Linked DNA regions of Arabidopsis thaliana. The protein of the gene in region 1 interacts with the protein of each later gene in a pairwise test. Each region holds a gene or a part of one and is shown on either strand. Other genes may lie near its edges.

Region 1 (3,681 bases):
ATTTCATCAAAAGGTATTGTTTTTTGAATTTCAAAGATTTCCTTTTCATGGCCTGTTGATGACACATGACAACTAATCAAAGTTTCCTAATCACACACCTCACCTTGGTGAATCTGTACTTACAAAATCTTGCAATTTTTAATACATACAAAAGTTCAAATACTAGTTTTTTTTATTGTGTATGAAGAAGATCTCTAGATATGGAAATTTATTTGCTATAATCAGAACAAATATAAATTAAACATAGCATAAAATCTTAATTTAGATAGATTGTTAAATTACTCAGTGTGGTCAGAACAAAATGTTAGGCTCTTATCATAAATTTCTGTTTCTAAACTTACTACCAGCCTTTAACCAAAACAGGTCCAACTAATCATGAGCTGGTTAATTCATTGTCCCAGTATTGAATAAGGTTTACCTAAATCCAGTTATTTCTTTTTTCATATCATGAATAAACAACCACTGTTTTAAATATAAATCAAATAATAATTAAATACAACTTTGGAAATATTATATTATATAGAGAGGCCCAATAAAAGAGTATGTTGAAGCCCAAACAAGTTATATAACATATCTAAAGGCCCATTTTATACAACAAACATTCAAATCAAAGAAACGGTGCGGTTTACCGTTTGGCTGAATCAAGCACACACCAAACACATCTAGTCATTTACAATCTGAAACAGCTTTCAATAAACAATGATATTGATTTGGCATTTTGACTTAAATGCAAACTACTTTAGTTTCATCACAGTAGAGTAATCTCTATAGCTCTAAGCTAGAGATATCGTAAGAAGAGAACAATCTAGTTTCTAGTATAAAACTGTAGTCTGACAAGAAATTTGCTTTACTTGGAAGAATATTTCCTCTGTATATATACACAAACGTGTAGAGGAGTTTTCATCAATCATCATCATCATCACCACACCAATCTAACTAATACTATTTGAAGCGTGAACCCTTCTTCCCTTTACCATTACCTTTGCTGCCTCTTCCTTGTAAAGCCGAAGCCCAAAAGAAGAGAGAGATCCAAATTAGTACTGAAAGAAAGATCTTTACACGGTCTTGAATCATCGACGCTACTCCCACAAGACCTACACAAAATGTGATACCAAACAACAACTATGAATCCAAATTGTTAAGAAGATTGCTCTCGTATTGCAACCAATGACTAAACCTGTAGGGAAAAGAAAATGGTGGAACTTTTGGAAGACATTCACAAGTTGTAAAAGGAGGAGATTTATAAATCCTTAATGCTTAACAAGAGTAAAAGTCTATAAATTGTCACAAAGATCAAAACTTTAGCAATGAACAGTAATCGATCTTGAGGACTAAGATTAACATCTTTATCTACGAATCAATAGCAGTTAAACCACCTTCATTCTCCTAATTCGAATTCCGTAATGCAATTTCATCGAATTAGGAAAGATTGAAAAATAGAATTGGCAGTAAACAAAATCAGAACTCAGAGTTGAAACATTGAAGTTTTAAGGGTAAGAAGGGAAAGACGAACTTGTGAGCTCAGTCGTGTTTTTAGGCGGAGGTGGGTCGGGACTAGGCGGCGTTGGAGGGCCGAGAGGAGCGACCGCGATGCGTCGTACAGGTTTTGGAGTGGGGACGAGGAAAAGGGTCTGAGAAGGAAGTGGAGACGACCGGAACGGTGAAAAGAACGACGGAGATGGAAGAGGATGGTTTTTACGGCAGCGATGGAGGTAAAGGTTGGAGCTTGAAGTCGTGTTGGCAAACGCCGTCGCCATTTTCTTCACAAGGTATTTTGGACCTTGTTTTGTTTTCTCATTATTTTAATTTTAATTTATGTATACATTATCAAAAAAATGTTTTTGGTTTTTTCCTTCTTAATACCAAACTAAAAGAAGGAAAATGAAATATTTTCTATAATTTTCCACAAACTATTGAAATATCATGCATTTTTGTTTAACATAAATATTGTGTTTTCTTGACGACAAAAAAAAAAAATATTGTGTTTTCTTTAAAGAAACTGAACTCTGACAATACACTAAAATACTGTACTTATTAATAAATAAATAATTTAATGTATAACATAACTTGTCTATAAAGAAAAATATTTCATAGTATAGTATAGCAAATCCACAATTATTAATACAAAATTTACAAATAAAATTTTGATATGAGGTACAAAAATGGACTTCTTGTTTAATATATCAACATTTTTGTGTTCATGACGTGAATTAGCAATTTACTCCATTGAGCCATTCGCATAGAAAACATAAAAGGGACACAACATTTGCTGCTTCTTTTAATTAATTTTGGCTTCTTTCTTTTGCGAAAATTAACTATGCTGAATAACAATTTATTCCATTCTCATTACAAACACAAAACTGGTTCATTCTTTGCTTGTTCAATTAGTCTATAATGTATTTTCTAGCTTCTTTTGTTTGCGCAAATGAACTAAGTTAATTAGCAACTTAATAACTGATTCCATTCGCATAAACATAAAAAAGGTACAACATTAATTTGCTTAGTCCATCAAAGAACACAAAAACGACACCGTATCTCTTCTACTCAACAGAAATCTCCTGAACATTCTTCTTTGGCTTCTCCGTCCTAGGAATCACAAGATTAAGCACACCATTCTTGAGCTCCGCCTTAATGTCCTCAACCTTAGCATCATCAGGCAACGATAAGCTCGTGTTGTAGTAACCATAACTCTTTGAAGACCAGTACTCGTCTTCCTCAGGTGAGCCTTTCTCTTCCTCCGCCTTGTGATCTCCTTTAATCGTCAAGATTCCATCATTTACCGTGATCTTCACGTCTTCTTTGGTTAGCCCTGGAACCTCGTATCTGAGCTTGTAACAGTCGTCTTGCTCTTTCACTTGACCCATTAGTTGGAATGGATTCACGTTGAAGTTGTCGAAAATTCTGTTCATATTCTCTGTTGCTTGTATCAGAGTATTTCCTATAGTCGGAGGAAAGAACTCTGTTTTAAGAAGAAGAAAAAATTCAATTCAAGCAAAAATAGAGGTTTACATTAATTATGTTTCATGAGATTTAATGCAATGAAAATGTAAATTTAAAATTTGATGTATTTTTATGATTCTAGAATTTCAAATTTTCTTCTTAATTTTTCTTTTATGGGATATATTTTACACTTAAATGTTGAATTTTTTTTATATAATTTATTTCGAAAATATTATTATTGTGACACTATTGAAATTTTCTGCTAAATAGGTATATCAATAATGAACTAAAATGACAAACGTACCATTTAGGGTGGGAGTGAAGTAGCCATGATCGTCGGTGTTACGCCAGAGGCTTTTTCGGCCACGTCTCCGGGGGAAATTCTGTCGAGGAGATTTCTTCTCAGACACACTCACTTCTGTGTTCATCTTATCCTCTTGTTCACCAGCCGAAGTAGCCATGAATCTGTTTAGCTTCATTGGATTATGTCGATTTCCGACCAAACCTCTTTCACAAGATTGACCCATCAAACTAGGAGACAGTTTTTGTTGAAGGTTTCTCAAAGCCAGACGAGCTAGAGCCATTGTTTTCAAATCGGTAAATTTCTTAATTTTTGTCTTCTTGTCTTCTTTTTTGTGAGTTTGCAAGAAAAAGGCAAGAAGTGTTTGGTTTATAAAGATGGGATTAGGGTTTATGCTAAAAGGTTGGTTTCTAAGAGGTGTTAGAAGTTTCTAAGAGTTT
Region 2 (4,704 bases), about 11 Mb from region 1:
TGGCCTCATAATAGCTGCACATATATTATGTTTCAATAATGATGCTTCAGATGCATATGTTTGAATAAAAAAAGTACATGGGTAACACACGAGAACATACCCATCAATTCACTTTCGATGAGAGATGGGAAATTCTGTACAAACTGATTTAGGCACTTCAAGACCTAATGAGAGGAGGTAAAATCAATGCAAAGACAGGGGCCCGATATACAATTCCGGGAGTTCAATGGGAACAAAAGTAAGACAATTACAAGATGAGACGAACCTCCATTCTTAAACTCCAATCATCAGGATCCTCGCGTTGCACAGGATGCTCCAATATAAGTGAAAACTGATTCATCCAAACCTTAAGCACAGGCGTCACCAAAGTAGTAGTTTCCGTCTGAATATAAACACATTATATATGTAAACTGATAACAGAAGTAGCTGAAGCAAATCACATTCAAGATGTATGTATTATCAAAGAAAAAGTACCTTGTACACACCGCTCATTGCTCCAAGAACATATATACATGAATAAACAATTGTAAGGGCTTTTCCTCGAATATACTTGTCATAGCTCTACATATACAAAGAAGTGAGCTCCATAAGGGCCTCTGTTACTAAAATTTTCACATAAGAGACCTTGACATGCCATAAACGTGATTCAACATGAGTCTGATCGTATCAATATAAGAATACAATACCTGAGGAGAAGATACGACTGCATGCAAGCAGGGAAACAACACAGGTACCAGCGTAGGAACCTCTTTGTCATCCAATTCACCAGAGAGAAGAGCCAAACACCTCAAAGCTCCATGAACTGTTGAATATGGAAATAAATTCAGCCTCAGGAAACCTCGTAACTATTCTCATGAAAGAGTACAGAAATGGGTAGTAAAAAAAGAATTTGTCTCTAGAGCAAACAAAATTGATCGAAAATATACCTCCATTAGTGTTACTTGGATCGCTAATCAACTTCAGGAGAAAAGGAACTAGCTCAGGCCACTCTTCTGGCCAATCATATGTGGCAATTGACGATATGTCCATACTAATAGCCGTACAGATTTTTCTATGAGAGTCATCAAGTGAGCCCAACAGTTGTCCTCGAATAAGAGCCTAATAACATAACCAAAATAACTTCCTAAACTATCTCAGCTGGAAATCCAAAACAAACAATAAAAGAAGACAGTGAAAGTACCTTTTCCTCACTTGAGACAAGAGGATATTCAAAAGCCTCCTCGTTCTCTCGCCAATGCTTTTTAATGAACTGCTTTAACAGTACCGCAGCTAAGTAACAGTAGGTTAAGAACTTCACAAGCCAAAAAAAGGGAAAACACTCATTATATCAATAAACAAGCTCCAGGGGATAACAAATCAATGACATGAAAAGGATATTTGACGCAATCCCAAAGAGAGGTCTTTGTTAGCAGCAACTCTGCACAATGCACTCCCAAACCCTACAAGAAACAAACATCTTTTGGGTAAAATCTAACTACAAAAAAGAATCTATAGAAGAGAAGCAACTAGCTCGAAAGTAACCCAAACGATTTAAGCAACGGACCTGGTTGAAGAGAAGCCTGATTGAGAGAGGTCTCAGCGAAAGAACGAACGTTCTGGTTAGGGTCAAGACTTGCTGATAAGCAACCGAGCAGCCATTGCTGATCTTGGTCCACCACCATTGAGAGATTAATCGATGGAATCCAATTCCAGATGGGATCAAGAAATTGAGTGTTTGAAAATTGTTTTAGCTTCCCTCAATTTTCAAATTCCCGCTTGTCCCTTTGGTATAGGAGGATGTCGGAGAGACAGTAGAAACCAAATGGAGTTTAAGTAGTTCACCTCTCCTAGATTTTGTTGTCGAGAAAACCCTTTATAGACAGAGGTTGCAGAAGAAAGAAGCAATCAAATAACCAAAATAAACAATTACCAAACCGGATTTTAACCGTAGATTTAAATTGGTATAAATCCGGCTTAGTGTAATTTCATCAATCGAACAGTTTATCTCCAGAATCAAAGATAAACGGAGGAGAAGAGAGCTTCGTCGTCTTCTTCTTCTTCGCCTCCATGAATCTCCTCAAGACGATTCATTACCAGTCTACCATTACTCGATTTTACCGTTTTGCCCCTACACGCTCCTTTGCTTCTTCTGTGTCACTCTCTCCACAGAGACACATAATCTCTCTCGTTTCTATCTCTAATCGTGGAAGGTGCTTCGCATTCTCGAGCGTCTCTGGTGCTTCGCTTTATAATAATCAAGAGGATGGGAAGAAAGAAGAATCCGAGAGAAATTACGCTTCGACGAAGGAAGGAGATGAAGTGGTTTACCAGAAAACGCTGAGATTAGTAGAATGTGCCATGTTCGCTGCTGTGACAGGCCTCGTTTACTTTCTCAGCAATTCTCTCGCCATTGAGGTTAATTTTTCTTGCCTTATAATTCCCATAAGGACATTGGAGTATTGAGGTTAAGTTTGATCTTATTTTTCATAGAAGACATTGCCAAAAATGTCAACTTTGGAAACAAAGGATGTGTGTGAGAATCATCGTTCTTTTGTGTGTTTGATCGTTAGTGTGATAAACATTTCATACTTACTTGTTCCTTTTTAATGAGTATGAGTTTACATTTTTGAACGCAGAACTACTTTGGGTGTTTCTTCTCACTACCAATTGTGATTTCTTCGATAAGATGGAACATTGCAGGTGGCAGGAAGACAATGGTTTGTAAAAGAACATTCTTTTTCTCATTAATAAGAATTTCTCAAGTTTTTTTTGTGAATATGTGCTTCAAGTCTTTTGTGGTGTTTGTTTGTTTGTTTCTCAGGTTGCTACTGTCATGCTGTTGTTCATATTATCAGGTCCGGTCAAGGCATTAACTTACTTTGTAAGCCTCCGCTTTCCTAGATTGCCAAGCAGAGTTTTATCTCGTGACCATTGCTTAACTTTTGGAGATTTTATTTTTGTAGCTTACTCATGGTCTTGTGGGGCTTGCACTGGGATCATTGTGGAGGTAGTTGAATTCATACACTCCTCTCTATCTTTGCACAGTTTCTACTTTCTAGTTCTCTACTGCAACAAAAACATACATCTTACTAATTCCTGTCTTTACTGTTGAAGAAAATGTCTCAGTTGTTTATTTTCTTGCAATATTATTCTGTTCTCAGTATGGGGGCAAGCTGGCGTCTCTCGATTTTCTTGTGCACAATGGTGAAATGTCTGCTTCCTGTGATTACACAGTACACTTAATATGTCCTTATCTCTCCTTGTTTACTTGTATTATCGTGTTTCCTCCCACGCAGGTTCGAGCATTGGGTCTCATAGGCTATGTTCTGACATCATCCTTCTTAATAAGAGAAAATATTCTCGCTGTGGTAAGCTGCCTCTTTCCCTCAAATACCTATCACTCTTTTTCACCTAAAGAAACTCTTGTACAAATAAAACCACCACTGCATTGTTGTTGCAGATCACAATTAACATCCACGCTTCTCTCTCTTATGTTTTCACGGCCATGGGCCTGAACATAATGCCTTCGATGAGCCTCATTTATATGATATTTGGGACAGTGGTACGCAATCTCTTTATCCCGCTTTTCTCTGTTTATCTCGGGAAATTAATAAAAGAAGCCGATAACATTTTGCTTTGATTCTCAACAGCTGTTACTTAACAGTGGATTCTTTGTGTTGTTGCTGCATCTGCTATACTCGATCTTCCTAACAAGACTAGGAATGAAATCTTCGTTGAGATTACCAGCCTGGTTGGACAAAGCTATATGATGGGAATCAGGATCTCTGCTCTGCTCCTATTTTTTTGCAGCTCCATTGGAGAATCCAAACATGCATGGCTTGAGCATTTCTGGTAGAGCATATATGTAGTACTTATAAAGTAGGTGTTTGTGTCTATATGCATATGTATAATGGTTAAAAAGGGTACATGGACTTAGCTCACCCGTCCTCATCATTCATCACCTATGATGAAACAAACAACATTCAACCCAATGTAATGTCAAGTGGTTGCATTAGATTGTTCTCTTGGTCTAGCTCGTAGAACGATTTTCATGGGTTGTATATTGTTTTGTCAATGCAATTGCCACTTTGAAGACTCGGTTCCTTCAATAGTACTTGATTTGAATTTGGGTGTTATGAAAGTTGGTACAATGACATGTCCCAATTTAGCAACTCTTAATTTTTTCTTTGAATGAGTATAATAATGGATGAGTCTACCAGTCTATAACGTTGTTTTTGTATTTGGTACTTTTAAGTTTTAACAATCTCCCTGTCACCCTGTGTTCAACTGCATCCAGGTCTTGTCTTGATCCTTGTAAAAACCCAAAGAAGTGACTTGTAAACTAAAAACCTAAACTTTATTGAATAAATAATCGAGAACGTCTTCCAAACGACTAATTTAGGGGAAGAGAACTGGCGTCATTGTCTACGTAGAGAAACCAGGGAAGCTCACAAAACGCCTCCAGTGAGAAAAATACCAAAACAAAAGAACAAAAAAAGAAGAGAAAACCCATAGTGGCTAATAGATGTTATTGCCGCTTGTTAATGTAGCTCTTGATCACTATAATACCTATGCTGCAAATAGCCACGGTTAACACAAGAGGGAGCTTGTTAGATTCCACATTGGACAAGAAGGAGCTTTTGCTTGATCTGCCTCTGTTACCGCTATTGCTGCTCCCTGTTCTTGCTAGGCGTGACCTTTCTGCTGAGCTTTCCCTCATCAGAT

The links.
Region 2: the proteins of AT1G52550 (region 1) and AT1G26180 interact in a protein complementation assay, tested with the Arabidopsis thaliana proteins (one large-scale study listed by BioGRID).

Annotation. Positions count from the first base shown.
Region 1 is NC_003070.9:19,572,243-19,575,923, forward strand, and holds AT1G52550 (uncharacterized protein), read right to left. Parts: upstream 1,818-3,681; 5' UTR 1,758-1,817; coding exon 1,514-1,757; intron 1,095-1,513; coding exon 943-1,094; 3' UTR 513-942; downstream 1-512. Other genes in the region: AT1G52560 (HSP20-like chaperones superfamily protein), read right to left, coding at 2,541-2,959, 3,245-3,524.
Region 2 is NC_003070.9:9,052,778-9,057,481, forward strand, and holds AT1G26180 (uncharacterized protein), read left to right. Parts: upstream 1-1,895; 5' UTR 1,896-2,046; coding exon 2,047-2,394; intron 2,395-2,615; coding exon 2,616-2,696; intron 2,697-2,800; coding exon 2,801-2,860; intron 2,861-2,942; coding exon 2,943-2,986; intron 2,987-3,140; coding exon 3,141-3,183; coding exon of another isoform or gene 3,184-3,222; exon of another isoform or gene 3,223-3,275; coding exon 3,276-3,347; intron 3,348-3,439; coding exon 3,440-3,541; intron 3,542-3,629; coding exon 3,630-3,749; 3' UTR 3,750-4,164; downstream 4,165-4,704. Other genes in the region: AT1G26170 (ARM repeat superfamily protein), read right to left, coding at 1-14, 101-164, 266-382, 475-561, 687-802, 927-1,098, 1,181-1,273, 1,378-1,439 and 1 more; AT1G26190 (Phosphoribulokinase / Uridine kinase family), read right to left, coding at 4,508-4,704.